Caenorhabditis elegans: one gene and its partners. The protein of the gene in region 4 interacts with the protein of the main gene of each other region in a pairwise test. Each region holds a gene or a part of one and is shown on either strand. Other genes may lie near its edges.

Region 1 (6,338 bases), on a different chromosome or scaffold from region 4:
CGGAATTGAAAATTTCCGGCAAATCGGCAAATTTGCCGGTATGGAATTTTCAGAAAAATCGGCAAATTGCCGGAATTGAAATTTCCGGCAAATTGCCGCAATTAAAATTTCCGGCAAATCGGCAAATTTGCCGGTATGGAAATTTCCGAAAAATCGGCAAATTGCCGGAATTGAAATTTCCGGCAAATTGCCGGAATTAAAATTTCCGGCAAATCGGCAAATTGACAACAATTTGCCGAATTTGACGACATAAAAACATGCCAAACGGCAATTACCGCACACCCATGTCTCATATTTTCCCATTTCTATCATTTCGTAGAAAATCAAATTGAAAGGCGCTTATTGAGGCGATAGGCAGGTGTCGCCTTCAAATCAGGCAGTTAGGTGTTTCAACGCCGACACACGTGGTGTAAGAGTGTCGCATTTCGGGTTGATCTACGTTGATCTACAAAAAACGCGGGAGAAGAGACGCAGAGTTCTCAACTGATTTCGCATGGTTAAGAACGTGCTGACGTCACATTGGGGAAAAATTGCCGCATTTTTTGTAGATCAAATCGTGATGGGACAGCCTAGCCTGGCACCACGTGCAGGCAGGTGTCGCCTTCAAATCAGGCAGGTAGGTGTTTCAACGCCGACATGGAAGCCCTAGACTTTCTATACGGAATCTTTTAAAAACTACATTATTTAACTGTCCTGAAAGAGTAGAAAACTCATTTACAGCGCCGAAACTCGATTATTGGCTTTTCGAAGTCCCAAAACTTCCAGCCGAACTGCTCTTCGATTCCTTCCCCTACTTTTTCCACACCTTGATACTTTATGTGTCATCATAATCAACAGTCATGTACAACAACGGGCGGAGAAGATGAGGAAATCGAAAAAAAAAACGCAAGGGATGTTCACTGCGCGGGGCGCACGGAAATTGCGTGCGCAACGATGAGACGCAGCGCACACAGAAGTGCGCGACTTGCCGTTTCGTTCCACCACAGCGGCCGCATATAAGCACTCGGGGGCAACGGCAAATGACTGTGTAGGCTTCTTCTTCTTATTCTTTTGACACTTCTGACATTTTTCATTTCCCTTCTTCACCTTTGATTCTTTGTTCGAATATTCTAGAAAATTCATAGAATTTCAGATGGACGAGAAGAGCAAGGGATCGTTGCGAAGTGTGGCGTTCGTCGCCGTCACATTCTCCACAGTCGCAGTGACTGCTGTGCTTATCGCTTTCCCATTGGTATTCCACTATGTGCAGACCCTTCAAGCTTCCGTACAAGGAGAGGTTGAGTACTGCAAGTCCCGATCTCGGGATATGTGGCGTGAGATGGTCGAGGTTGCACCGGAAGGTGCTGATGATCCACTTGATGTTCTGCTCAGAGCTACACGTCAAGCTGATGCTCAATGCTGCACATGCCAACAGGGACCACCAGGACCAGATGGAGAGCCAGGAACTCCTGGAAAAGACGGAGAACCAGGTCAAGGACCAGGAGAGCCAGGACCACCAGGACCTGATGCCGAGCTTCATGATCGAATTCTCCCGGTTCCACCACAATGCCCATGCACTGCTGCTCCAGGACTTGGAGGACCACCAGGACCACCAGGACAAGATGGAATTCCAGGTAACCCGGGAAGAAACGGAGAGGATGGAGCTCCAGGACCACAAGGACCATCCGGACCACCGGGACCACCTGGGCAACCAGGACAGCCTGGACAACGCGGACCACCAGGAGAGCCTGGAGCACTTCTTCCAGGAGGAGACGCTCCACCAGGCCCATCCGGACCACCAGGACGGCCAGGAGCACCAGGACAGCCAGGAAAGGCCGGATCTCCAGGACAAGACGGAAGCAACGGAGACGCCGGAGTTGCTGGAGAGCCAGGTAAATTATCATGATAAGCTAGGCTTCTTCTTCTTCTTCTAAACGTTAAATTTGTTTCAGGACAACGCGGACCACCAGGACCACCAGGACAAGCCGGAACTCCAGGATCGCCAGGAGACGCCGGATCTCCAGGATCGTGCGAGCACTGCCCACCAGCACGTCTTGCTCCAGGATATTAGAAGCTTATGCGAGTCTGTCTGTACATTTTCGAATAAACTATATTATTTTTTCAATCGATATGTCGTAGTTGTCCATTTAATAAAAAAAAGGGTGAAGAGGCTTGTGAAGCACGGTGAGCTCAGGTATCGCCAGGAACCTCTGGAAAGAGAACTAGGTCAAGAACCAGGAGAGCACCGTGAGCTTCTGTTGGAGGTATTGGGGGAGCACAGGAGAGCCTGGAGTGCTTCTTCCAGAAGGAGACACTCCAGCAAACCCAACTAGGCCATCAAGACGGACAGGAGGCTCACGGCATCCTGGAAAGGGCAGATCTCCAGGACAAGACGGAAGAAGTTGAGACGTCGGAGCACGTGGTGCCAGGCTGCCCCGTTTTGGTTTGATCTACCGAGATCTACAAAAAATGCGGGAGTCGAGACGAAGAATTTTCAGCTGACGTCACATTTTTTGGGGAAAAAATTGCCGCATTTTTTGTAGGTCAAACCGTAATGGGACAGCGGACAGACACCACGTACGGAGTTGCTGGAGAGCAGGGTGAGCCAAAGATTTCGTTTAAAAATCCAGAATGACGAGCTTTTTATTGGACGATCTTCTGAATATGTTCAGCCAGGAACCTCTGGAAAGACGGACTTCCAGGTGCTGGGAAGAAGGACGGAGCTTCAGGATCACAAGGATCATCCGGACCATCGGCAGAGCCTGGAGCACTTCTCCCAGGAGGAGGGCAAGCCGAATACCAGGATTGTGCGAGCACTGCCCACCAGCGAGCTCAGGGACCGCCAGGAACCATAGAAAAGTCGGAGAATCAGGTGATCCAGGATCACCAGGACGAGCTTCGTGATTGAACTCTCCCGATTCCGCCATAATGCCCGTGAGCTTCTGGACCACAGGAGAGCCTGGAGAACTTCTTCCAGAAGGAAACGCTCCAGCAAGCCCACCAGGACATCCGGGAAAGAGCAGATCTCCAGGACAAGACGGAAGCAATTGAGACGCCGGAGTTCGATCTTCTGAACAGGATCCGCCAGGAACCTCTGGAAAGACGGAATTCCAGGTACCGGGAAGAAGGTCGGAGCTTCAGGATCACAAGGATCATTCGGACCATCGGCAGAGCCAGGTACTCCGAGTAGAAGCTTGGTCAGATCGACAATGCGGATCACAAGGACAAGCCGAATCCGAGAATCCTGCGAGAACTGTCCACCATATCATTTTCCAACATACCCGCACATTTTCCAATAAACTATTACCTTTTTCAAAACTATATCAAGTGAAAGCCCATCCATATACTCCATACAAATTGATATATCGTTATTGTCCACAAAAGCCCCGTAGAATCCAACAATGAATGGACTATTGCACTTGTGAAGTACGGCGAGCTCTTTGACGATCTGTTGTCGGACTGACGGCTTGATCTCGAGGTGTACAAGCTTCCGAGCCATAATTACACCGGTTTTTCGATGAACACACTGAAAAATTGAACTTTTTATTTCCAAATTCCAGCTTATTTCAGCAAATTCCAACCTTATTAACAACTCCTCCATTTCCATGGCCAAGTTCTCCTTCAGTCTGTAGCATATCCTCACTCAACTCCTTGATGCCCTCCTTGACCTGCAAGAATTCGCTGAGCCGTTGAGTTTGTGGCTCCGTGAGCCCGAGCTTTTTCAGCTGTTCTTCTAGTGGGACTGTCGCGGTGGCTTCTTCCTGGAAATTTATATTTTTTAAATTCAATATTTAAAAATTAAAAATAATTTTAAATTATTACCGCCGTCGCCTCGCCACTTTCACTTTGTTCATTTACTGTCGGTGGTAGACTGAGTCCCAACGGATTACGCCGTTTTCCGCTCGACATTATCTGGAAAATAGTTGGATTTTATTTTAATCGAGAGGTTTTTTTTAGAAAAAAAACGAGGAAAATTCCAAGAAAACTTATGAAAAACTGGGGAAAATGGGAAAATTTAGCGATTTTTGGAGTCTAATTCAGAAAATACTCAGAACTATTTAATTTTCTAAAAATTAGTCAGGAAATATTAAAAATATTTAGTTTCTTTGGTAATTTTAACTGAAAGCAGAGTTTTTTTTCAGAAATCAAAGGTGGAGTACCGAAATTTGAGACTTTGTTTTTTTAGACGCAAGTTGGTCCAAAACTACCGAATTTCGTAATGAAACATTCTGAAAATTTCTCAAAAAAAAGTTATGACGGTCCAAAGTTCGGCAAAATAAGGCCAACTTTCAGCTAAAATCAAAATTTTTTCCAACTTCTCGGTGTCGCAACGTCTGGAACCTAATTTTTATTTATTCATCACTTTTTAATAAATATTGTGGTCTTTGATTGGGCGTTTATTCGTTGTTTTAAGCATATTTCTGGCCTTTGGGGCACAAATAAAAGTTACATTTTGTGCCCACTGACCATAAATGTACTTAAAACAACGAATAAAAGCCTAATAAAAGACCGCAATATTTATTAAAAAGTGATAAATAAATAAAAATTGGGTTCCAGACGTTGGGCCTTAATTTTGTGGGCCTTAATTTGCCGAACTTTGAACCGCCATAACTTTTTTTTGAGAAATTTTCGAAACGTTTCATTACGAAATTCGGTAGTTTTGGACCAATTTGGGTCTAAAAAAGCAAAGATTCGAATTTCGGTACTTCACCTTTAAAGAGGGTTTTCACTTAAATATACTCAGAATGACCTAAAATTACATATTTTTAAAAAATTCCAAAACTGTTTTTTGGCGTGTTTTTGAAGCAAAAATTGCTAAAATCCTACATTTTGTCAACTTTTCCTTGTCGCAGTGTTTTTTCAATGCTTGAGACCATTTTTGGGTGGCAAAAAGCCAAAAATTCTAAAAAAATGAAGATAATTCAATGAAAACTGGATTTTTAGCCGCTGATTTTAGCAAATTTTGGTTTTTTTTTTTCGAATTTTGATTCGCCATACACATTTTGGAATTTTTTCGAGCTATTTCGAGCCAATTTGAGTGAAAACCTATACAATTATAAATTTCCACGTGATTTTAGCCGTCTGAAAAAAGGGAAAATAAAAAAAATTTCGCGATTAATTTCTTCCGAAACAACTAGTTTTCTCTGAAATCGAGGCAAAAACGTGATGAATTGATTGATGAATATAACCTGTCGTGAAGTGGCGATTTTTGAGAACAGGTGAAAAAAAAGCACGGCTCTCTAGCTTATTGACTGCTTTTCCGGACTGCGAGAGCTCGGTCAAGCGAGAAGAAAAGAGAAGAAGGCGATGAGAGATGCGGGGAGCCGCTGCTGGAGCAAGAAAAAAGAGAGCAGAAAAAGCGCCTAAATAATTAAAAATTTAATCGAAATTGAGGAGGAGAGGAAATTTGAGAGGGGGATGACGGCTCTTTTGTTGCTTTTTTCTTCGAGAAAATGTGATTTTTATTGAGATTTCAGTGGATCCGTGCCAAAAACGGGGATTTTTGACCTGCTAATCGGATAATATAAGTCTCGATGAGAGGAATTATATAGAAAACGGGGATTTCTACGTAGAAGAAGGGACTTTCTCCACGATTGGTGCTTCTTTTGATGAAAAAAATGGAAAAATACCATTTTTCTGCAAATTTTTCATTTCAGAACAATACTGCCTGATTTATTCGATTTATTTCAGCTTTTTTGTCGAAAAAACAGAGATGAGAAGAGATAAAGAGCAAACAATTCCAAGACGCATCAGTAGTCTTTTTTCCGATTTAAATCGATATTTCTTGGAAATATAAGCTTATTAGACGTTTTAAGACGTGCATTTCACGAAAAACACCGAAAAAAACACGAAAAAAGGCCAAAAACTGAAAAAATCATTGCAAATTCGATGAAAACGAGAGAAAAAGCGCAAAAACGGGACGCGCTAAACAACACGCGCCTCCGTCATTCCGGAGTGTCGTTGCCACACGAAAGTTTGCGATTTTCACGAATTTTCCAGACAATTTTTGTTTTTTCGGGGTTAAACTTGCATTTTTCTTTTGGATTTTGTTTGGAATTAATATTTTTACATAAAATTTCACATTAAATCAGTTAAAATCAGCATAATCCTCCATAACGATCCACAAAAAAGTCCAAAAAATCACGTGATTTCTGTTCTTTTCCGTTTTTCGCCGCAATTATCTCATTTCTTTTCGATATTTCAGAGAATGACGAATAAAGAAAAGCCAATCAAGCATCTCGTGATTGACACGTGCGCAATCATTGCCAATCGCAATCTTCATGTGAGAATTTTCAAGTTTGGAGCCTTGGCAGACCCAAAATGTGCTCGAATGGACGAATTTTATAGTGAAATTTCCA
Region 2 (9,241 bases), on a different chromosome or scaffold from region 4:
GGGGGGGGGGGTCAGAAATGTGACTAGAAATGTGGAAAATGCAATTTAATTTAATTTTTTTTTCTTCCGCCACTAAGCTTGGCTCATCTCATCGTGATCCGCTTGCTGATCAAAGCGAGAGCGGAACGTCCGGCGAGGTGGCTGCTCGTCAAATCGATTTCTCCTCGGTGGCCGTTGATCCATATCCTGGCCTGGAGCATCATCTTCTCCCTGTCTATCAAACCTACTGACACGGGCTCTCTTAGTCGGAACGGGATCCTGATACTGGGATCCATGTGCATTTGGGGATCCTAGATGACCGCCATCATCATTGTACGCTGGCTTCTGGTCGAATCTCGAGTTGTTCCGAGGAGCAAAGCCTCCACGAGCATATCGTGCTCCACGGAATCCTTCAGTGTCGCCAAATCGGCCACGGTTTCCGCCTGCATTGTCTCTAAAGTCGCGGTCGTGGTGGTTGTTGTAGTTGTTGCGATTGTTGTAGCCTCCACGGAATCCGCGGCCTCGGCCACCTCGGAAGTTGTCGTGGTGATGATTTGGACCGCGTGGTGGGAGCTCTGCCATCTTTTGACGTCTCTGAAAAAGAAATAAGTAAGAATGGAAAAAAAATAGCTTCAAACTGCCACTTACCATCTCCTCGTCATGAATAAATCTGCACTGATCTCCCCGATTACATCCACCCGGGCGGCTGATAAAGTAGACACATGGCTCTGGAATCTTCCAGCCGGATTGAGTCCATCCTTCCGAGTTGCGAGAGTCCTGGCGACGCTCCTGAGCCATCATCTCTGGAGTTGCAAATGTTGCCTGAAATTTTAGACTGTTGCTAATGTATAAATAAGGAGGACTTGGACCAGCGTCGTGTAAAAGTGGGCCGATACCGGGCCTGTCCCGTTTTTGAAGTAAGCTTCCATGGGCCCACACATTTTTAAAGCGGGTCGGACCATTTCAAGCAATTCCAGCCCGTTTTTAAAAGCGAAAAAAACTCACGACATATCCATCCATTGGATAATCTTGCGGCACTTCTTCACTTGCATACGTGTTCCCCTGCTGGAGCATCATCTGCTGAGCAGTCTGCATTGCAGCCGCCAGTGGATCAACCGGCGGTGGAGCTGAAGTCGTCGGCGAAGGAGTCTCATCCGACGAGACGAACCCCTTCTTCTTGAGCTGGTTGAGCATCTCCTTGAGGTTCGATGGAAGCTCGAATCTGCTGGCAGGCTGGGCTGCTGGAGCTGGCTCCGGGGTCTCCGGGACAGAGGTGGTGGCCGTGTAGTAGTTGGTGACCGGTTCCGTTTCCTGGAACACTTGCTGGATGTGTGGAGTCGGCGTCTGGTGGGCTGATTGCTGCTGCTGCTGCTGTGCGTACATCGGACGTCGAGGGTTCTCCGGGCGTTGGCTATGGTAGAGTGGCAACGTGTGGAATCCCTGGTTCGGCTTGACCTGAAGCAGCAAATCTTGTGGACGAACACGTGGCGGACGGCCCGGAAGTGGCAAATCGCGGATAGTGGCGAGAGTGGTGGGCTCCGATGGAACACTGACGGTTGGGATGATGGTCGGCGTGTAGTTGGCACGGTCGACAGCTGCCTGCTCGTTAAGCGCTGGGTTGTCCTCGAGTTGGCACATTCTGGAAACGCAAAAAATTTAAAAAATTTTTATTACAGGTCAATATATGCCTAAAAACTTACCCAAACATGGCCCCTCTCATAATTCCTTCCTCTTCGATACGTCTTTCTTCCCGTAGGCCCGACTCTGACATTTCACTGCGCGCCGGTTTGGACCGCTTCACCGGCACCAGCGACCACTCGACATCCTCAAAAACTTCCATCTCCTGGCCAAACGCGGCGGCCTCATTTCGCTCCGAACACCGATAGTCGGCAACATTCGAGTGGACTGAAAGAAGAGGCGCATTAGTTTTAGTGGTAGGCTCTAGTGGCGGCGTACTTGCTGCAATACGTTCAATTTCCTTAACATGCACCAGTGGAAGACCTCGCGTGTCGGCGAAGATGAGGCGACGGGTGCCACGCTGATTGAGGTTGGAGATAGCTGGACCACGGAGAATTCCACGGTTTGGCTTCTGAAAATACTTGAGGGCGATTAGTAATAGTTTTTGCTTGTTTTCAAGAAAGTAGCTGGATCAGAGCTTGCTTGTTCTAAAAAGCCATAATTTTGGGCTCGAAATTCATTTGTAGAATTTTTTTTCCGAACTGTCCAGTACCATGGACGAATTGGCGCGCAATTACACTCAATTTTAAAAGGTAAATTTTCCAAAATTCTAACACCGCCTCATTGAAGCAAATGCGCTCTACCGAAACTGAGCAAGTTTGGTTGTCAAATTCCCGTTGAACGATTTCTCAAAGAGCGGGATCAGAGCACGCTTGCTCCAATAAACCATAAATTTTGAGCTCGAAATTCATTTGTAGAATTTTTGCCCGAACTGTCCAGTACCAAGGCACACAACTCTGCTCAATTTTAAAAGATAAAATTTCAATTTTCCTAGCAGTCGGCGTTTCCAACAGTCTAGCACAGTCTCATTGAAAAAATGCAGATGCGCTCTACCGCCACAAAGCAATTTTAGTTGTCAAATTCCTTTTTTAACCTACCAATTTCAGTGCGGCAAGTCCCGCATCCTCTCCATCATCTGTGGCGTGTCGTTTTCCTGAATAAATCGCCGTCGGCACCGCTGCTGCTGCGGCAACTGCTTCCGGCTTCGGTTTTCGCTTCACAATCCGGATTCCTGGGTTGGATGGCGAGTAGGAGACTGAGCCTGAAAATATTGATTGGTATTATTGAGATTTTCTGGAATTTTGAAAAAAAAAATTAAAGTATTCAAACAAACTTGGCATCAAGACTGAAATGTGCTCTTTCTGAAACGGTATGGGTACGGGGCAGGGGAGACGGGGAAATGGGAACAATTTTGTAAAAGTTTTGAGGCGTTTTAAGGGGTTCCCATTCAAATTGCAAGAAAAAAATCAATAGCGCTAGATTACGTCACCTAGAAATTCCACGTGTTGAAACATCCGTCGAGGTATAAAATTGTCATTTTTTCGAGTTTATGAGCGTCTTTTATTCCGTGTTTTGAATTTTTATCCAAAAATTTTTATAGTCCAAACTTTTTCGCGGCAATCTTTTTATTGATTTCCTTATCAATTTTTTAAAGTAGCATCGTTTTTTTTCCAAAAAATTCCAATTTGTGCGCAATAACTCACAAGGCATATTCCACGGTTTATTCCAAAAATAGAGCGTACTTGTTCATTATTGTGAATTTAAGTTTTGGCCTACAAGGGGATACCAATAGGAAAATTATCTCACCGAGTTTTGCAATTTATCGATTTTTAAAAAATGTTTTGAGTAAAAACAAAAGAATCGTCGTAAAATTTAATACAAAAATTGACAACTGAAACGGCTCTTCATCGGAAACCTCGAAACATTTCAATTTGCAAGCAATTTTCTCTAAAACATTTCTACTAGTAGTAAGTACAGAAATCAGATTTTTGGGAGATCAAAATTTCAAGATTACAACGTTTTAAGCCACTACAAATTTGGAAAAGTCACATTTCTTTGCGAAAAATAAGTAAGTGTTCTTCAGAATTCATAACGCCTAACCTATCCGACTATTACAAAAATTCAGACCATAAATATTAATTTTTTACATTTTCTCAATCGCTGAGCATTCTAGACATTTTCAAAATTCTAGACATCCTTCAAAAATGATCTACTCAAACTTTTCTTTCAAATTCCCAATCAAAAATGTTCAATTTATCGATTTCCGCATTCAAAAACGTCCACGGGCGGCAATTTTTCCAAAATTTCAGCCCGTGCACTTCTGATGATTTTTCTGGAATTTCATATATCTTTCATATATATCTTCTCCGCCATTTTGCTCGGCTCTGCAAACGAAACCACTGTAGAATATTCCATATGAAGCTGAGAGCATCTGCAAAAAAACTCCGGACGCACAAAAAAATAGAAAAAAAGAAGAAATCAGAAACATAGAAAAAACATGGAGAACAACTTATTGGGGAGTCTGAAAAGTGATGGGGATTCACAATTGAGAAGAGGCTTCCATAAGAGTGACCATAGTTCCCGGGTATCCATAGTCTTTTTTTAATAATAAATCTCGGTTTTTGTCCGCTTTTAAAATTACATTTTCCCATTTTTCCAAGACCTTTCAAAATTTTGCTAAAGTTCTGGAGAGTTCTATAATTCATTAAAATGTGAATAGTCGTATCTACGCTACATAGAAATAGGGGCTGGGAAAGTGGGAATCGGCGGGTGGGAAGAGCACATCTCCATCTCATTCCCAAGTGTCGGAGCTTCCATGTACCTGAAATGTGATGTTAGGATACAAATTCTAAAGAGTTTTCCACCTACCTCCATATTTCTGCCGCGTTGTCTGATCCTCGGGCTTCACTGGAGTCGTCTTCGATGTGGATGGCGCGGTGAGTGGTGTCGGTACGTAGACTGCTGAAAATTTGAAATTTAAAATTGAATTTGAACTGCCTATTGGAAATTATTAGAATATATTCAAGGAAGATTCAAATTTTCTTGTATTTTTAGAGTATTTTTTATCTAGAATATCTGGAATCTAGCAGTTTCTTGAAAAAATATCCACCGAGAAAAATGTCGGAACGTAAGAAATATGTCCAGAAGTATAACAATTGTTCAAAAAATTCAAAAGCTATCAGATACATGGAACAAAATTTGCCAGATTGATTCCGGTCTACTCAAAAACTCGGTCAACTTCCAGAACTTACCCGTACTTGCCAAAAAAGCTCCAGTGAGTGAGCAAAAGTCTGCAGCTCTTACTGAAGATATAGAACTTCCCTAAAAATGCCAGAAATCTGCAGAAAGTTAACAGAAAGTATTCAAAAGCCTTCCACATTTTCTTCAAATCCCATAATTTTTCTAGACTTTTCCAAACTTCTAGAAATGTTTTCGAAAACTGTACAACCCTTCAGAACTTGGCACAACTTGCCAGATATTTTCCATGCATTCTTATGTCTTTGTGAACTTTGAATGAATTTGCCGTAATCTTGCCCGATCATCACAAAACTTCCAAAATTCTCCAAAAGACCTCAGATCTGTTCAGGACATTTCTGAAATATTAAAAGTAGTCGCAAGTTTCAATCTAGTTTCAAAAAGCACCATAGACCCCCAAAGTTTAAAACGAAAAATTCCAGCTGTACTAAAATAGTCGGATTCAATTTTTCCAGCATTCTACTAGAGGATAGAAAAAAAAATAGGCCACAGCTTCAGCATAGTCAGCAAGTTGTTCGAAATCAGGCCGTTATCACTTTGTAATAATTGTTTCCCTATCCCTTTTTCTCGCGGAACCAGGACACATCTTATCTTCTCTATAGAAAATACGTAGTCACTGTTCTCAACTTGAAATTAGGCCCAAAGAGGGAAAAAGAGAAGAGCGAGAGCCTATCCTAAATGACTTAAGCTTCTGAGCCTTGAAGTGAAAGCCTAATAATCCAAGAAACATAGCTGGTTCCTGCTAGGTAGAAGCTTGAAGTTTTCCTGCTGGTCCCATATAGCCAAAGTTGAAGTCCAAGTCCAAGTATCTTGACTTCTGGATTCTACTGCTCTCAGCACGTCAGAGGTGCTCCAAGATGCCGAGGGCACTTCAGAACCTGAAAATTCGTGTCCAAAGCCCGGTCATCCCTTTCTGGGTATCCGACCACATCTGGGGCATTTCTGTTCCTCACATTATTTTCCTTCATATTGTGCGGTTAAAACAGAACTCTTTATTTCAATTGTCTCTCTGAAAACGGTTTTTTCTTTTTCGCCAACCCGGAACTGTGTCACAAAGAAAAATGAAAGTGCTTGATATCAAGATTCGAGATCGAAGAAATAGGATGAAGTGGAGAAGAAAATAAGGAACTTGCAAATTAGAATTCAAATTCAAAAATAGTAGAATTCCGATGACTTACCCGGAGAGTCGATGGAGGTGTTCGGGGATCCCACTGCTGGCAGGAAGGCGCCGTCCATTGTCTTGGTCGGGGTGTAGACGTCGGCCATTGGAGACGGTGTTGGTGCGGAGTTGAGCTGCTGGCGGCTTCTGCTGCTTCTGCTTTGTGTAGATTTTCTGGAAATTTTGTAAGAGTTTAATTTGAAGAGAATATTAGTGAATTTAAAAAAAAAAGAGGAAAAATCAAAGAAAATTTTAATTTTAAAAAGTTGAGGGAAACTAGAAGAAAACCAGGAGAAAAAACTCGCCAAAATCAGCCTAATACATTTTCGAAACGCGCAATGTGTGCGGGAGAGTGTTTGTGTGAGCGTGCGTTTCCCTATCGATCGTAGACACAAGAGACCCCCGGCAGTCAAATAGTGAGGAAATATCCCGAGCAGGCAGCCAGAGAGTGGTTAGAGATCGCCCGCAGTCGACGAGAGAGTGCAGGTGGCGAGGGAAAAGAGGCACGAGACGACGAGAGCGTGTATCATGTGGGCTGTCGAATGCGACCACTTGGGTCCCTCACCGATGTCTGCATACACACTGACGACAAGTTGCGGAGCGTGTTTTTTGGAGAATAATGGTTAAATGCATATTGGATATTGATGGAAGTTCATGAATTTTGTGAGTTTTTAAAATTTCAAAGCAATTTTTTTTTTGAATTTGAAGCTCAGCCAACCAAAAACTTATATTTTGAGAAAAGTTTTCAATCGAAAGACCATTCCAGAACAGTTTCACCAGAACAGATTCTAACGACTTTTCATGCAATACTAAAAACTAAAAAAGTTGATAAAAGTTTGTCGATGCACCATGATTTTTGCAATTGCTTCAGGAATTTTCAAATGAAACATAAATTTTTACAGATTCCTTTTTGGCTGGGAGCAGATTGTCAAAAAATCGATAAGACTACAGAAAATCAGTGGAGTTCAGGAAAAATAATTGGTTTTTGAAAATTATTTCTAGCTACATATAAGGGAAAGTATTCGACAGACAGGCTACCCGTAAAGACATAAAGCAGGAGTTAAATGGAATTGTGAGGAAAATTGTCAAACGTGCCAATTTGTTGAAAATCACAGAAATCGATGCACTATGATGTTAGCTTACAGAAACTTGAACCGAGTTTACATGAATTTTTTGGTGAAACAGAAATTTTTTCACTATCCTAGTCAACTGGAAGAATACTGTCGTTTTGAATAAATCATTTAAAAATGCCGTTTGAAAATAATCGAATCCAGACAAAAGTCTTCGATTTTGAGCATTTCTCACAAAAAAGTCCATTTTAGAGATTCTATGAATTAGGTTTACTATTTTGAAATTCACAAACTTTGATGAACCATGATGTTTGCTCTTAAATACGTGGACTAGTTTGTCAGAATCGTTTTACAGAAGGAACCTCTCGGATAAAAGAAAATTGTCAAGATAACGTGGAAGTTGCAGGGAACTACCAGATGTCAGGGAAAATTATTTTGAAGGGACTCAATTGACAATTAGTGCATGAAGGCAGACAATACAGGACTCGAATGATACTTTAAGAGAAATTAAAAAAATGTCGATGCACCATGATGCTAGCTTCCACAAATTTGAACCGCGTTTAACAGAAATTTTTGCAATTTGCTTGCCGGATAAAAGAAGATGAAAAACTTCTAGAAACGCCTGAAAACACTTAAATTGGAATCAAAATCCTGGAATTTTCGAACATTTTTCACAAAAAATCATTTCTTTGGCAATATCCTAGAATAATTTTCTGGAAATTAAGTGATTTAATAACCAATTTTTGATATAAAATTATTTATTTAGAGAAACTTTTCTTCTTTAGTAGCAGTTTTGTATGTAATCTTAAAAAAATGACAGTGAACAGTTGTAAATGAGCAATTCTAAACTGAACGTTCTAGTGTTCAGCATTAAAATTAAAACTTTAGCGTGAAATTTTGATATCCTACAAAAGTTTGCTACTTGTAAAAAAAAAATATAATTTCGATTTAAATTTAAGAGATACTGTCAAAAGCGTCTTAATTTTTTAAATCACAAACCGATGCACCATAAGCTCATTCAACGGGAATTTGTACAGATTTCTTTTTGTCTGGAAGAAAACTGTCAAACAATTGTGTAACATTGTGAGAGATGCTCATAATTCTAAAACGGAAGGAGAAATCTTTAATGTTCATCTTTTGCTAGTTTAATGGAGACAGTATCGTGGATTTGGCCAGTTTTGAAAAAGATGGTTGGAACCTCTGGGTTTCGTCCCCCCCCCCCCCCCCAACAAGATATCCATATTTTTCTTACTATTAGCGAAGTATTTTTCTAAGCTTGATATATATATATATATATATATATATATATATATATATATATATATTAATATTAAAAAATTTATTTGACGGGAAACAATATTTTTGAAAAATTTTAGAGATGAAAACTCAGAAATATTTAAGAGATCGTGTTGATTTTTTTTTGAGGTATTCCATCAACAAATTGTGAAAGAATATGAGATTTCATTCGAGATTTGAAAGATGCTTTCAAAAGTGTCAATACTATGAAACTCAGAAACTTGAATGCAGCGGGATGTTAGGACATGAATTGGCTTTCCACAGGAATTTTCAGATGTAGTGGGAAATATCTGTAAAAAAAATTGAAATAAAATGGAAAGTTTTTTATTGAAAAATTTTATTGAACATTTTAGAATGATATTCTGTCATTTTAGTACTATGAAAATGGTTGGTACATGTGTATTATAACCCCACATTGTTTTTAAAACGCAATTAGTATCTTCATTATTAGGCTCACAAGGAAAGTCTGTCAATCAAATACTAGGACATCTAAACCAGGGCTGGGCGGCAATTGCCGTTAGGCAAATGGATTTGTCGGCAAATGCGGCAAATCGGCAAATTGCCGGTTTGCTGATTTGCCGGAAATTTTTCATTCCGGCAATTTCCCGATTTACCGATTTGCCGGAAATTTCAATTCCGTCAATTTGCCGATTTGCCGATTTGCCGGAAAAAATCGTTTCCCGCCCACCCCTGTTCTAAACCACACATATTTCATTTGAAAGCTTGTTTTTTAACTAGGTCACCACAAAAAGTTGTACGGCGGAACTAAACTCTGGTATTCTAAAAACGCGGTCTGAAATAATTTCAGTGCATTATTTCACTAATTTGGAGGCCCGTAGAATGGCTCCAAAAAGTTTTTGGGAAACTTTCGATGATTTTAAAGTTAAAAAAAAAAAGAAAAACAATCTGAGATTTAAAAAAAAATTACATTTGTGGTTAATAACTGCAATTTGTTTTATCAAAT
Region 3 (8,828 bases), on a different chromosome or scaffold from region 4:
GAATGGGTGACAGTCCAAAATCGTATTCTTCCCGATTTAAGGAGCAAGCTACGAGAGATCGCAGAGCCCTGGAATATGGTCGAGGAGGATTCGGAGATGATTTCGAAAGAGAAGAGTATGGAGCAGTGCAGCCATATCGTGGACCACCTGGAGGCGTGGTAAGTAGTGGAGGTGGCGGCTACCGATCAAGCAGCCATCACCGATCTCATCACGAGTCACACGGTGGAGGACACGAGTCGTCATTTGGAGCTTCACGTGGTGCAATCACTCAACAGCCACAGGTATATCATCAGGATATGAGACCGGTTCGACCGGTGCAACACCATCGAGTGCAATGTTGTTGCTTCAAATTTGTTTGGCCACCATGGAGCTACGAACAAGCACCACCACCACAGCCAATTTACAGAAACATCTGAAAATCTTGCTCAACCTTGACAATGTTTGATATTCTTCATTTTAATCTGTATCTAGGCTCAATTCTTTGATTTTTGCAACTCTATTTACACCCGTGTTCCTCAATTTCTCCATTCAAATTCTCAAGTTCACTGTCGCTGCCAATTCTTTTTTTTTCTTATTTTTTTTCCGAAATCCCACAAATAGTCAAATAATAAAAAGCATCCTAAATGATATTTCCCCAATTAATCAAGTTGGGGTCATGATACTGTTTGATAACAAGGCAAATTGTTGGCGGCGCGAAAGAAAACGAGCGAGAGAGAGAGAGAGAGAGCGTTTCCTAATTCCAATGGCCTTGTTTTGGGTTGCACGCAATCGATTCAGGGTTATCCCATTGATGTCTTTCAAATCAATTTGTTGGAGGTTTACCGTGCAAATAAAATTAGGAAAAATAAAAAGACAAAGAAAAAGGGTTCATATATATGTTAACAAGATTTTTATTTTAAATATACAAAAAAAAGGTATTTAATTTGAACAAGTCTTAAGCCTATATTTGAGCAAATTTAAAATTTAAAATTATTTTCGGGATACACTGTGGTTAAATTTATGACAAATCGGTTTCATTACAAATGATAAGTGGCTTCGCGATTTTTTGGGTTTTGGTCGGCTTCATAGTCATACAAGTAATCGAACTGGCTCAGAGCATTACGAACATCTTCTCCTGAAACTTGGTAGGTTTATATGATAATGATTAAAAAATCTCTATGAAGTATTAATTTTACCGTTAATGCTTGGGCTCCGAAGTTTTGCACGACTATTGCTGCGAGATTCATTTGGAGTATAGTCGAACCTAAATGTGAAAATTACACATTCAAGGCAGTTCTGGGAACTTAAAATTCTATACCCCACGTGTGCTCAAAAGAACAAATTTCGTAATGGGAATCTCAAAAATTTTTCAAGAATTTTTATGGTGTTTCAAAATTTCGAAAAAAGCCTAATTTAACTAAAATCTTAAATTTCGGTCACTTTTTGGTGGTTCAAAATTACAATAATTTTTATATTCCTTACTTTGACGTTTTGCTCACTCTCCGTGGCCCGGCTCCGACTCCACTTTCAATATTAATCGGAACATACACCACTTGTCCATTCTCATTACTGTATGCAACTGGCATATCGAAATCATGAGTTCCGGACATTGAGTTCTGAATTTCCAGAGGAGAGAGGGGCCGGCTGGAGCCTTCGTGATTTCCTGCTGTGGCGTACAGGGGCGCTGATACAGGACGATTTGATGTGGAGCTCTGAAAATTTTCAAACTTAAATATACCGGACCAAAACGACCGAATTTCATAATGAGACTACTCAAAAAATTTCCAAAAAAAAATTTCGAAAACATACACCCCAATTTTCCTAAAATCTGAAATTTCGCTAATTTTTCTTTGTCACCGTAGCTGGAATACACTTTTTTTGCCCTTTATGGCGTATTTTAGTAGTTCACCTATAAAGAAAAGTTGGGAACATTTGCAATTTTGAATAATAAAACGTACAGTCACTTCTCTTGGTTCCGGCGACATCATTTTTTTGTTGTACACTGAACTGACAACTGGCTGTTGTGGGAACAAATATGAAAATCCTGCGTGAGGATGCTGAGCCTCAACAATCGGAGGATCCGCAAATCGTGCTCTTGGAGAAAGTGCACTAGATAGTCGTCTAGACGGTATGTCAGCATCTTGCTTTATAATTGGTGAAACTGGAACTGGGGACACTGCTCTGTACGGTGTTCGAGACGCTGATGATGGTGGTCGTGCAGAAACTGGTCGAAGTAGTGTTCCTGGATCATCGTCGCGGATGGCCAAGTCATGAACGCTTCGAGACAAGGTTTTCACTTGTTGGATTGGGTGATAATGGACTTGCTCTTTTTGACTGTTATTGCCAAATCGTTTCAAGCCGCGTGGCGCCATTTCAGGAGAATCATTTTCATACTCTTCCCTGCTGGAAACAAAATTTGTATACCTCGGCTGTTATCAATACTACTTTACGTACTTTTCTCTGAAAACCATTGCACTTTCACTTTTTGCTCGCCTCATCGCACCGAACGGCTCTCTTCTCTCGGTGGCGTAACCCATTCTGGATGGTGGTATTGGAGAAGATGGTTCTGAAATTAAAATTTAGAAATCAATTCGAATTTTCAATGTTTAATCACTTACCAGCATAAGAACCATGCGATAATGTTTGTGATCTTCGGTCATAAGTCAAGCGTGGGCCGCCACCTCCTTCAAAGTAATAATTGCCGGCAGCTCTTCCACCGGAGCCAGCACCCTGCTTTCGGAATCTTTGACGTTCAACGTTTTTAACGACGGATGTCACTGGCTGAAATAAAATAAAATAAGTTACCTTCTTCCGGCACTTTTGCCCACAAAATAAGAATTCACATTCAGGGTTCATCACTATTAATAGGTCAAAAGGTGGAATAGCGCCAGTGGAAATTTTGTCGAAATACACTTATAGTGATCCAGAACTATCGAATATCATGATAAAACAATCCAAAAATTTTTAGAGTTTTTTTAACTGCCAAATTTTCTGTTTTAACGCAGTTTAATAAAAATGAAGAGCAAAAACCGTAGATTTTTTTGGTCGACTTCCAAAATTATGACTGAAAGAATACTGAGTAGTTATCACTATTTGACAGTAAATAAAAAATCTCAAAATTTTTTTGAGAAGTTTTCATTATGCCTTTTCTTTGCTGGAACTTTTGTAAAAAAAAATCTGAATTTGTATAACACAAGTTGGACTTTTAAAACATATATTTTGAACATATCAGCTGCTTGAATTTATTTTTGAGCAGTACCCGAGGTTCTAAGAAAATTGAAAATTTCATCAAGATTAACGGGGTACAACAGCGTTTTATCTTGGGGATTCAAAAGAAAAAGGGTATGTAGTTTAAATTATTCTATTAGGCTTTTTCGTATAACCAAACGTACCGCGGCGAAAGCTAAAAATTTCCTTTCATTATTTTACCTATTTTGATAGATACAACATGACTTTTTGTCAACGCAAGCAGACAAATTTAAAATCTTTTTGTACATCTTGAACAATACAAAACTCATATCGCAATTTATTATGCTATGAAACCTAACAGAAAATTTACCATGATCTTGGAGCTTGGAGCATGCCTCCGACTTCTTTCCGATATGCTGCTTCCGTCCACTTCAGAAGTTCCATAAATGTGGTTATGCTCAACGGTGGGTCCCGACCCTCCAACATATTGGTTCAGTGATTTCCACGCGTTCAACTCATCGATCAAAGTGTCCATTCCGCCGTAGGATGAATTCGGGTATCCAATGAGCTGGAACAATTTGGCGTTCAGAATACGAACAATAGGTAACCTACTTTTTCGACAACTTCTGGATTGTACTGGGCTAATGACACTTCCGATTTAACAAGTGCTCTGTGCACTGGAGTTGGTGCGCTTGCAATCAACTTGTTGAAAAGTCTAGCCACAAGGATCTGAAAATGGCGAAAATCTACGAAATGCGCCGTATTATTTTAGACCTGAATGTGAAGTTTCTTTGTATGAAGACCATGTTTGAGTTGTGCTACAAATATGGAAAACCTCAAATAGTCCCGATTTCTTGCTGCCAAAACAGTCAGCGCCCTCAATAAAATCACAAATCCTTGCGGTTGTTCTAGTAGCAGAAGAAGAATCTGCAGAGAACGATATTCTAATTTGTCAAACACAACGATAAACGGCAACCTCGAGTGAGTAACATTTGGAGTCCAGCTGAGGCGAATGAATAGAATACATTATGGCATCCAATCCGGTTGATGTTTCGAGAAATGACTTCCATGTTGATTCCTATGCAAGGTGATAGTTAATGGCATGAATCTTACAAATTTTCACTCACTGATTTCTCAAGTAACAGTTTGATGCTTTCAATGCAATCGGCCTCAGCAACAGCTGCCTTTCTTTTTCGATTGGCATTTGTCGAATTTCTATTGAGCAGGTAGGAAATTTTCGATCCAGATCCTTCAACACTGTTCACAATTCCCTGCAGAACAATCACCACTTTTCCGAGTAGTTCAATCCCGTTGATAGGCTTTGATACAAACTCATGCGAAAAATGTTGAGCCCTGGAAACAATTGAAATTCATGTCGGAAGCATACGTCAGACAGGAGCAAATATTGTGGTTCGGAGGAGTTAGCTATCAGTGCGTGGGGGGGGGTGGGAGGTTTTAGAACCGGTCACTGTTGTATTTACTTCTCAGTCGGAGTTAAATAATGGCCACGGGAGTGCACAAAGTTGAGCGCGGGAGGTACCGCCAAATGGATAATACGATACGAAAAAATGGCCAAAAAAATTTAAATAAATTTTCCTTGAGGGAATGCATTTTTTAAAAATACTAATAGAGCAACGGAAAACCTTTCTCTTTTAAGAAGTAATTGTAATACTAGCTAGTTTTTGAAACAATGCATTTTTTCGGCTAATGAATGTAAAAGAAACCTTATAAATTAATTAAAATTATGTGAACAAACAATTGAAAAACTGTTTCTGTTTCTAAAAATAATTTTTGCATTGAAAAATGTTATATCACACTTTGTCTTAAACATATCTATTAGTGATAAACTACAAACTATGTTTAAAAAAAACCGGTACTTGTGTTTTACATGCCCTCATTTTAAAATTCTACTTAATGTTCATTCCTTTCTCCATTGAAATTTAACGTGATATTCATTTTTTTGGGCTTAAAAATGGTTATTACCTAAGCTCAAAAGTTCAAAAATATGCTACAGTGCATTGGTTTTTCCACGCATTTATGCGGAATGGTCTTGCTGCGCGCGTAATCATCATTTTTAACAGTTTCTGTTCAAAATTTGCGTAGATCACGCGTGAAAGCACAATTAATTTGAAAGCAACAGAAATACAAAATATGAGATAAATATTTTGTGATATACATGTGATCTACGCGAATTTTACCCAGAAACTGCTAAAAATGATGACTAAACGCGCGGCAAGACCATTCCGCATAAATCCGTCTTCCTTTAAAGTCGTAGAAGTGAAAAATCAAATGCACTGTACACGCTTAAATTTTTTATAACTATGTAATACACATGTACCAAAAATTCTAACAAATATTTTGTTAGTTGACATTGTTGCATTGTAAATAAGTTGTTAGTAAGTTGCTAGTTGATTTTAATGATACAATCGACAACTTAGGTATAAGCTGTCAAAATTGAACATTGCGCTCCAATATACTAATAGAAAACACTGTCATTTTTGTAAATTTTAATCAAACTTTTTTTCAAATTTGTGAAGAAAGTTCGCTTGGAAAATGTTGGAACATCAACGCCAACAAAAAATTCAAAACTACTTACTTTATTGAGTCCGCTAAAATTTGGTCTTTTAAAGATAACAAAACAAATCCAGCATCTGATAAAGATATACCGCTCCCTGAAAAAAGTGCCTATTTGGTGGTGGTTTTTAAAAGTGTTCAGTTTGAATACACTCCCGTCTTGTCATGGATATATGTTTACCTGAAGGAGTCGAATCCGGATTCTGAATAAACCTCCGTAGTTGGTCGGCAAGTACACGTGGCGAGTTGACATTTCGATCCATTATTCTCACTCGGTTCTTTTTGCCATTAACATGAGGGGAGCCAAATGTGTCGAGTCTAGTTGGGTGAGGCAGGGAAAAGGCTAAGTGGTGGTTAGGAATCAGGCTAGGTTTGTAGTGAATGCTGCTGCGAGACGCGATGTGTGTGTGTGTGTGTGTGCCAGTTGAAAGCAAACAGTACCTCCGATGAAGGCTTGAAGACTCGGGGGGGGCCTGCTGATGCTTCTGCAACCGTCCCCAATACCGGTGAGCGGAAAGAAGTCGAGAGTTTGCCAAGAAACACTGCGACACATTGTGAACGCAAACGAGAGGGTAAACATAATGGGAAGCGGAGGTTAAGCAACTTACTGACAGATTGGTAGGTACTCACAACCGGTAATGAGTTGCTTTCAGTTTCTGCTCACCAATCAAAATTCTTATGCGAAAATTTTTTGTTTTTTGATCCGGCAATTAACAATGTTTTTAGCAGATGATTTTTTTTAAATAAATTAAAACGTAATAGTTTTAGTATTCTCAAAAACAAATGGTACAAACCAATAGGTACCAAAATTTAATTTAATTCATTTTTCTACCACTGATTGCACTCATCTTCCATCTGTTAATGTTTTTGTGCTACCTTCTGATTTCTGTAAAACCTATAGTATAATTTGAGCATAATTTCAAACTCCGAAACTCATAACATCCAATGGTATTCAATTTTTTCGGCAAATGAATGTAATAAAAACTTTGTGCACTATTTCATTCGTGAGCTAAGAAAATTGTTTGATCATTGGTAGGTAAATGGAGAAAACACCCTCTTGATTTTTGAAATATTCAGCGTCTGTAATTTTACAATTTCATAAGAGAAAAAAGAATTTATTGACTATAAAAAACTGGCAAAAAAGACCGAGTTTTTGCCACTTTTTGAGAAAACTTTAGTTATGTCGCATGTTTTAATCCTTGCAATATTTAAATATTAATTCAAAAATAATCACAGCATAAAAATCAAATAAACAATTTTTATTTGATCGACAACTTCCAAAAAGGTGGCAAAAACAGACATTTTTCCAATTTAAAATCATATAAAAATTAGATTCAAAAAATTACCATGATACTTGTTCATTTTGGCTTCATATGTATTTTGAAACAATTTCCCCACTGGTGCTACACCACCTTCAGCAATATTTGTCATAGTTTTGGTAAATTGTCAATTTCACAAAACAATTAAATATTACTTTCAAACAAATTTTAAAATATGTCGCATTTTTCAACCCATAAGTATTTGTTTCCGTCCACCAATAAAATTGTGAGAGACGAAGCAAAAATTGAAAACTTCTTGGGTCAGGAAATTTGAGAACAAATTGATCGAATAATTTTAGCGTACATTTATTAAAGTTGAAGTAGCGCAGGTAGGGGTTTTGTCTAAATACACTTATAAAAATCGAATATCATAATAAAATGTTCCAAAAAAATTTACATTTATGGAAGTTTTCAGTCAAAATTTTGATAAAATGCTAAATTTAAAAAAATTGCTTTGAAGGAAATTCAGAGCAATGCCGCATGTTCCGACCACAAAATGTTTTAACAAGAGTAATACAAACAAAATTAAAGTATAAAAATCGTTGAATAAAATCTTTTTTTTGCTTTTTTAATGATATATTGGACGTTCGCATGTTGTCATAAATAATAAATTATTGAATCATTTTCTTACAATCAAACTGATTTATTTAGATACTTTGGTATGAACTGAAAAAAAGTGTTTCACATATTTAAAAGTATGAAAAAGTGAAATGATTAAATGGGAACTGAGGTGTGGCATATTCGAGTATCGATTATCTTTTAAATTCATTGTGCTTGCTGAACGAACTGAACAAAAAAAGGGGGCAGATGGCATTTTGAATAAGACAAGTGGGAAAAGGAGCACCAAGGGTCTTCCATCCAAACTCGATAATTTCAAACAAGGAGTGGCAGTACAAAAATGAGAAGACGGACATAAAACGGATTGGGGATTGCCAACAAAATCAGAACAAGAAAACACTAAACTCAGAATGACAAAGTTGAGAAAAAAACATTATTAAGTAGTTTAGGTACATTATGGGGAAACTGTGACAAATGCGATACACACATACACAAAACGGCAACAATTTTTGGTTGGCAAGTGGAAGAGGAAGAGGATTACTGGAAGTCTAGACTTTCCAAGAAAAGGCTAGAATAAAACTTCTGACATTCAAAAAAAACATAGAATTTGGTGAGAATATTCGTGATGGACCTCGTCGTTTCTTGATTGAGTACTATAAAAATTTAGAATAAAGGGCTTCTTTGCAATATGAAGAACACTCTTTAACGTCCATAAGTCATGTATCCATAGCCAGCAGTGTTGTATTGATTGTAATATGGGTAGCCACCATATCCAGCGTACGTGTTGTAGTTGTATGGCACAATAGTTCCAGCCCCCTTGTCATAGTAGTTTGGCATCATGTAGGCACCGTGTTTAGCTGTCAGCGCGTCCTCCTCTTCTCTCTATCAAATAATAAATTCATTAGGTTAGCTGATGTTAATCGTCTAAATAGTCAAACAATGTTCTCAATCTTCAAAGACCTATTCCGATGGGAGATGACCCAATTTTCAACAAATTAAGCAATATCTAGTGCCTGGTGGGAAGCGTTTACTATTTTATTTTGTCCATTCTAATTGATGATAGATCAATAGATAGAATAACAACAAAAACAAAAAGTGTTTTTTTTGGTAAGTGATATAAAGTTTTTAAAATAGAATGTATTGATTGGAAATGTTTTCAAATGAATTGCATAATGAAACATCTCAAAATGGCGGGTTAAAAATTTGAAA
Region 4 (6,162 bases):
TAAATTTATTGAGCTAATTTTCAGATGATTCATCGACTAGTACTTCTCACTGTCTTTTTCTGCACCTCAGTCGTTGCAGATTATCATAAGTTGAAATTAGGCGGAGCCTGTGAAGCTCTTCGTGTTGAACTTGAAGGAACTGATGATGCAGCAGCCAAAATGACCAAGCTGAACGCTTTCTTGGACACTCTCGGAGAAGGAATTCGTCAAAAATTCTGGGACATTGTGGCTGCGGCAAAGACCGATGCACAAACAAATCTGCCTTCGGACAAGGCAAAAGAATTGGCTGGAGAAGTAATCAGCGATTTTGAACAAGGAAACTTATTCAAGAGTCATCAAGAAATTTCTGCGGAGGTGAGGGAAATTAGAAAAAGACCTAGTTTTTTCACAATCTAAATTATCCTACATTTTCCAGCTTAAATCCAAATTCGAGTCACTTGATGATGCTGACAAGGCAGCGGTTAAAAACTTGGCAAAAGTTTATGGAAAGCAAGCCAAGGCACTTGTCATGCCACATCTTCCAGAGGACTGCAAGGCTAAAACTGATGCTACAGATGATGCAGGAAAAGCTGCTGTCGCCGGAGGTTTCGACACGGTAATTTCGATTGAATTGTTATGATAAAGAATATCAATTTTCAGGGAGACTACCTTCCGCGCAAGAAACGCGAGCTTTTGTTCATCGATAACCTCACTGCAGCTTTCAGAGAAATGAGAAGCCGTCGTGGATTTTAAATACATTTAATTTGTTTTTCGTTTCTTGAAATTGAATGATAAAAAGCGTTAACGTCTTGTAATTTTTGGATTAATTTATGAGACTCGGAATTCGACCGCCACTTCTGACCCAACTGCCCCAAACCTAAGAATTTTGTTCAGAAGTTGGTAAAGGGTGAACAAAGCTTGGCCATGACTTGTCTCAAGAAATTTTTTTGTAAAATATAGGCCAACTTCCGAACTAAATTTATACTATATTTTCTGGCCAAATTGAACTATAAGTGCTCTTTCAAAAATTTAGTCATGTAAAAAACACTCACCCTGAATTATCTCCCAATCCTTGAGTTTGTTGAACATATTGCTCAGCTGCAGACTTATCGGAATAAATTCCCAATGGAGAATTGTATTGCATATGTTTCACACGTTGATCTGTTTCAAAAGGAAGTGCTGAATTGTTGAAACCTTGTGGTGGACGGGTCTAAAAATAATTTATTATTCACTATTTATTAGAAATTTTAAAAAATGTTATGCTATTGTCGTTAAAAACGATTACAAATAACGATTTTGTGTGAAGCTTCCTATTTCAAAACAAAACTCAAATGACTCACATCACTGCTATGCTGCAAATTGACACGATATGGGGTTTGATCCTGTCCTGGTCCAGTATTTTCAGTTACTTCTGGACGCCAAATTCTGGTGGCTGCACCGGATGGTTGCCTGAAATTAAACTTATTTGATATGAATGAAATCAAAATTTATTTATTTTCTATTTAATCTCTTCGATTAAATTTCAAATTACCATGGTCTTGGCGTCGTTGTGATTCTCACCATCACTTTTGAATCTTAAATCATTTCAATTGAACATGAAATATATTTATAGGAAAATGGGTAAACGTAAAGAAAAAGGAAACTTGCAAGTTTTTTTGTTCAAAAATGATAAACACCTGGAAAAGGGAAATATGTGAGAGGAAGTATTCAACAATTTCATTCTCTCAGTTTTTGTGTGCGAGAGGGTGAATAAATTGTTGGAACACTCTGATACAACAACAGAGAATGAAATAAAAAGAACAGTGTCAGAAGTACATTGCTTTGTCATGAACTGACTCATCATTAAAACCCTATTTATTTAAAATTCAACTGTTCAAAGTAAAACATAACATTCAGGAGAAAATTATGCGAATTCGGGAAAAGTAAAAGCCAAAATAATAATAATTGTCAAACTGTTTTGTTTTGGTATTTCTTAAAACTATACAGCAGTTTTGGAAAGAATCTTGAATGCTGTGGCAGTTATTTTTGGCAATTCTATAACATTTTTCCATGCAACTTTTTTTGCAGTTGCTTATGTAAAAAGTGCTCAAAAATAAGTTTAAAGGGGCAAAAATATCTGAAGCTTGTTAAAACTATCAACACAGAATGATTTTTGAGGGAAAAAGGTAACGAGCTTCAAATTTAATGACATTAGAGTGCTTATAAGAGGAGCAAAACTTGTGTTGCAAAGCTGTTGCAAAGCTAAAGAAAACATTGATTGGGACATTTGACCGTTTCAAAACAGTTCAAAACAGTTGCAACGATTTGTCATCAAACGGAATATGTATGTATAAATCCTAAGTCCCTCCTTCTTCCTGCAACGAGATATTCGGAAGAATGTTGCCTTCTGCTTCCCCCGTACCGATTGGCCTGATTCTTATCTGTTCGCCTGTTTATATGGCGGGTGTTCGCTTCGAAAATTTTGGATATCTATATTCTATTGCATGAAGCACTTGCTGTTGGAGATAAACTAAGACGCAGACGGATTAAAAACGGAAAGGTAGGATACATTGGTGATGTGATTAAAACGGAGAACACTTTGACTGGTTAATAAACGGAAATACAAACTGGTAAGTAACCTACTTTGAATTGCGTTGTGATAACAAAGCTACAGATTACATAACTAGGGTTGTGTACATTTTCAAGGGATCGATTTAGGGGAAATATTCGAGAAAATTATGTCTTTCTTATTATTTTCACACACCTGCTCTGTTTATATATAATTTTTATTTATTGTGGTCGACACAAATTTTGAATAATTGGTGCTATACTGATAAATTTGAAGTGTTTAACGAGATGAGTTACCTGGTAACAATAAGTTCAATCTTCTCATGAGCTGTAACTAGAAGTCTATCAACAGCGTTTATGTCCAAATTGTCAAGATCTTCCAAACGATCAACAACATCTCCATTACGAAGACCGGCACGATCAGCTAAGCTACCACCTATTACCTGAAATTTTCAACTTTTATTCGATATTCAACTTGTTTGAATTGAAGGCTCCCTTTGCTTTAAAAAATCCCCCAACGCATGTCAATTTTTCAAATTCATTTTTTCTTACGTTAACGACTAATCTCTCACTACATTTTGTCTATGAGTTTTGAGAGAAATTTTGAAAGCATCTAACTTATTGTAATAAGTGATGTTTTTTGTGTTGCTCTTCCGATTTTCCCTGGGCATGTCCAGAGGATAAAACTGCGAGAGAAAGTGAGGAAGGCGATGAGATTGTAAATCAGTTGTGGTGATGCGGTGATTTTTGAGATCGCGGTAAGAACCTAGAGGTGCTAAAAGTGAATGTGATGGGTTTTCTTGGTTTTTGTATTAAATGTATACGAAAACATATGCCTCAAGACTAATTTTTACGACAAATTTTATTGTGATTCAATTTGGACAAACTGACAAACTACTTTATGACAAATAGGGGGACACTTATACTAAATTTATAATAAAGAGCTTACATTAACAATAAGAACAGCTCCATCTGGGGCTTCTGTCACACCGAACCCCCATGGAGTTCGGCGATCCGAACGAGCCATTCGAACGGTCACACGTTCCATCTTGATTTGACTACCTGAAATTTTATTGTGTCCTGGTCAATAAAATAGAGCGAAACAAATAAAAATAAATCAAAGTTTCAAACAGAATTTAGTAGAACATGTTTAAAAAAATATTGTCCAACCGAAAATATTCATTTTGTTTCAAATGTGTACCACTTCAAACGCAGTTATTTGCTAAAGCGCAAACGTTTCAGTCCAATAGTTACACGAAATCTTCAATAACCACGTGGCGTTTATAGATGAAAAATTTTGCAAACATTTTGACATTTTGAATTTTTACTTTTAATTAAAAATTGAAAACAAAAAAATCGTATTGTTTTCCGTATAGTGCAAAATAGAAAATAAGAGTAAAAGAAGGGAGAGTGAGATTATGCTGGATTTTGTATATTTATCGACTGTCGGGCAATTTGACGGGGGAAATGGTAGTGAATGACTACAACAGAAAAAAAAAGATTGTTGAAAAAGTAAGATGTTTTATTTAAAATTAATAAAGAAATTCAATTGAAATTATGAAACTGAGCATAACGAGTTTTCTGATTCGATGAGTCATTCGTGATTGACAGTTAATTTTTTTTATGGAACTCTTATCGTTTAACGGAACATATAGTTTTAAACTACGTTTAAAAAACGATACCACACCCAATAATTGAAATTTTAGTTTTTTCCAATTTTTTTTTCATAATCAGTGTGTTTCATAATGAACACCGTATATTACCCCAGTTTTGTAGTTTTATTTCTAACTGCCAGTAACATTTTTTAAACTTTTAAAGAGGTGATACTTTTTGTAGGCCAATCTACATAAACTTATGAAAGTTTTATAACATAAAGTTTTATAACAACAAAGCTAACGATTTTTAACATGAAGTCCTGTATCTCCGTTTGCAACTTGAACATTAGTATTAAAGTCCTACAAACCAACCAAAAAAGAACTATTTGAACAATCTGGTAATGCTACTTGCTTTGAAGTAAAAAATAATTATAAACACAAAATACCACGAATGACGTTCTGAACTAAACTTCCTAGAGATCTATCGTATGTGAGCTAAAATGTTGGCAAAAAACAATCTTACATGATCCTAAATACATTTATCGAATTGCAGAGTACAAGTTTTATTCAAAAAAAACCGTGCCAACCTTAGGCATTGGTAGATTGCCGTTCATAATCTAAAAAGTAGTTTTAAACATTGTTTTCTTATATGAGATGGGTGATTTCAGATTACATCTTCAATTTTAGGTTGAAATTGCATTGTATCAAGTCTAGAAGTATACAGAACTAATGTATAAATTAAGACGGTTGAGTTCCAAAAAAAAATTCCAAAAAATCAACTTGGTGTTGTGTTGCGGAGGTGGGGGTTCTGCTGTTCTGAGGTCTGTGCGGATAAAGCTTCAGGCCCAACGGTGTACGGCACGCGCGGGCGTGAGCACATCCTCTCGCTCGAACTCTGACATTCTCTCGCTCTTCCCGGCGCGGGAAGCCTTCTCGCACTTCATGGCCATCTCCTCTTGAGCTCCCGAGAGCCGGGGGAGCTCTCGGAATGATATAGGGATGATTTTGAGGAGGCGCAGGTATTGGACGTGTTTGTAGTAAAGCGAGTGCGCGTTGCTGATTATCAACGAAAAGGGGAGGGGGATGGGATGATAAGAAGACCGAGACGAAAATGAGAAGAAATTTGGAACAAAAGTGCGATTTGTTTGAAAGAGCTTGAGACATAAAAGTATGAACACTTGTTAGAGTAGTTTGTGGTATGAAGTATAGGGTTTTTTCAAATCACAAAACGTTTACATTACCAAGTTTATGCCAAAAATGAGCCATGAGCGGAATTATAAATATATTATACAGTCTCGTAAAATTCATAGTCCAGTTCAGACTCAACAATAAGGTTTTAGAAGAATTAATTATTTTTATTTAATGAAAAATTAAATGGTATGATGACATTCTACTATCAAGTTTATATTCAGAGAAAACACAGAGCCGGTTGATGTCACTTGATGTCGCTCCATATTTGGCTGTACATATTAAGTACGTACAGTAGTCTCTCAGAAATTAAACTCAAAACAAAAAAAACAAATTAAGATGAGAGATAGAGATGAATTCAACCACCTGTCATCATCCCACGACTCATATTTCACAAAAAAAGCAAAAAATAAGCAAAAAAAAATATATCTTTTGGAAACCTTTTTACGTTGTATGTCTGCTTGTATGTGGTGGCAAAAATAGATATTGAAAAGTTCTTCTTCTCTCTAATCCTCTATCGTCTAGATAGGTTCTCAGGTAAACAATGAGCAGCTTTTCGGTACTTTTTTGCTTTCGTTTATCAACACTGCTTTTTGGAAGAAAAGTGTAGAAAGAACAAAGACTTTCGAGTGGGTTTTATGCAGAAGTTGAATAGTTACAGAATTGTACGCAAAACCATGTTGATCCACAGAGACAAAATTAACACTCTCTAGGCAAAGAACAAATGGAGGGAGTATAAAGAGAGCAGTCGTGATATTTTAAAAGTAAAGTTCTCATAAATAATATATTTTTTAATATCAAATACCAAGTGTGAATAAACGTTTTCCGTTCTTTAGCACCAAAACTGATACAG

What was found.
Region 1: the proteins of alp-1 (region 4) and mek-2 interact in a two-hybrid assay, tested with the Caenorhabditis elegans proteins (3 studies listed by BioGRID).
Region 2: the proteins of alp-1 (region 4) and zfp-3 interact in a two-hybrid assay, tested with the Caenorhabditis elegans proteins (3 studies listed by BioGRID).
Region 3: the proteins of alp-1 (region 4) and F53B3.3 interact in a two-hybrid assay, tested with the Caenorhabditis elegans proteins (3 studies listed by BioGRID).

The regions. Positions count from the first base shown.
Region 1 is NC_003279.8:3,009,558-3,015,895, forward strand, and holds the start of mek-2 (Dual specificity mitogen-activated protein kinase kinase mek-2), read right to left. Parts: upstream 3,892-6,338; 5' UTR 3,889-3,891; coding exon 3,802-3,888; intron 3,741-3,801; coding exon 3,561-3,740; intron 3,506-3,560; coding exon 3,287-3,505; intron 2,109-3,286; exon of another isoform or gene 2,051-2,108; coding exon of another isoform or gene 1,932-2,050; intron 1,872-1,931; coding exon of another isoform or gene 1,133-1,871; exon of another isoform or gene 1,127-1,132; intron 1,062-1,126; exon of another isoform or gene 936-1,061; intron 1-935. Other genes in the region: col-48 (Nematode cuticle collagen N-terminal domain-containing protein), read left to right, coding at 1,133-1,871, 1,932-2,050; nobh-1 (RNA-binding protein NOB1), read left to right, coding at 6,188-6,262. UniProt on the Caenorhabditis elegans protein: Functions in the let-60 Ras signaling pathway; acts downstream of lin-45 raf kinase, but before the sur-1/mpk-1 gene product in controlling vulval cell differentiation. Required for progression of developing oocytes through the pachytene stage.
Region 2 is NC_003284.9:1,440,559-1,449,799, forward strand, and holds the start of zfp-3 (C3H1-type domain-containing protein), read right to left. Parts: upstream 6,086-9,241; 5' UTR 6,019-6,085; coding exon 5,931-6,018; coding exon of another isoform or gene 5,902-5,930; intron 4,459-5,901; coding exon 4,366-4,458; intron 4,319-4,365; coding exon of another isoform or gene 3,849-4,318; exon of another isoform or gene 2,838-3,848; coding exon of another isoform or gene 2,831-2,837; exon of another isoform or gene 2,759-2,830; coding exon 2,595-2,758; intron 2,078-2,594; coding exon 1,936-2,077; intron 1,885-1,935; coding exon 1,680-1,884; intron 1,619-1,679; coding exon 985-1,618; intron 802-984; coding exon 628-801; intron 574-627; coding exon 73-573; 3' UTR 1-72.
Region 3 is NC_003284.9:2,865,056-2,873,883, forward strand, and holds F53B3.3 (CLASP_N domain-containing protein), read right to left. Parts: upstream 6,083-8,828; 5' UTR 6,006-6,082; coding exon 5,924-6,005; intron 5,841-5,923; coding exon 5,765-5,840; intron 4,691-5,764; exon of another isoform or gene 4,522-4,690; coding exon 4,296-4,521; intron 4,247-4,295; coding exon 4,145-4,246; intron 4,096-4,144; coding exon 3,943-4,095; intron 3,898-3,942; coding exon 3,781-3,897; intron 3,737-3,780; coding exon 3,539-3,736; intron 2,761-3,538; coding exon 2,598-2,760; intron 2,546-2,597; coding exon 2,434-2,545; intron 2,383-2,433; coding exon 1,938-2,382; intron 1,692-1,937; coding exon 1,462-1,691; intron 1,244-1,461; coding exon 1,176-1,243; intron 1,115-1,175; coding exon 1,017-1,114; 3' UTR 859-1,016; downstream 1-858. Other genes in the region: F53B3.6 (RNA-binding protein 6), read left to right, coding at 1-416; F53B3.5 (Conserved plasma membrane protein), read right to left, coding at 8,322-8,501.
Region 4 is NC_003282.8:8,849,926-8,856,087, reverse strand, and holds the start of alp-1 (PDZ and LIM domain protein Zasp), read right to left. Parts: upstream 3,589-6,162; 5' UTR 3,575-3,588; coding exon 3,476-3,574; intron 2,970-3,475; coding exon 2,824-2,969; intron 1,559-2,823; exon of another isoform or gene 1,543-1,558; coding exon of another isoform or gene 1,511-1,542; intron 1,429-1,510; coding exon 1,320-1,428; intron 1,190-1,319; coding exon 1,032-1,189; intron 793-1,031; exon of another isoform or gene 733-792; coding exon of another isoform or gene 640-732; intron 596-639; coding exon of another isoform or gene 416-595; intron 355-415; coding exon of another isoform or gene 25-354; intron 1-24. Other genes in the region: T11B7.5 (uncharacterized protein), read left to right, coding at 25-354, 416-595, 640-732.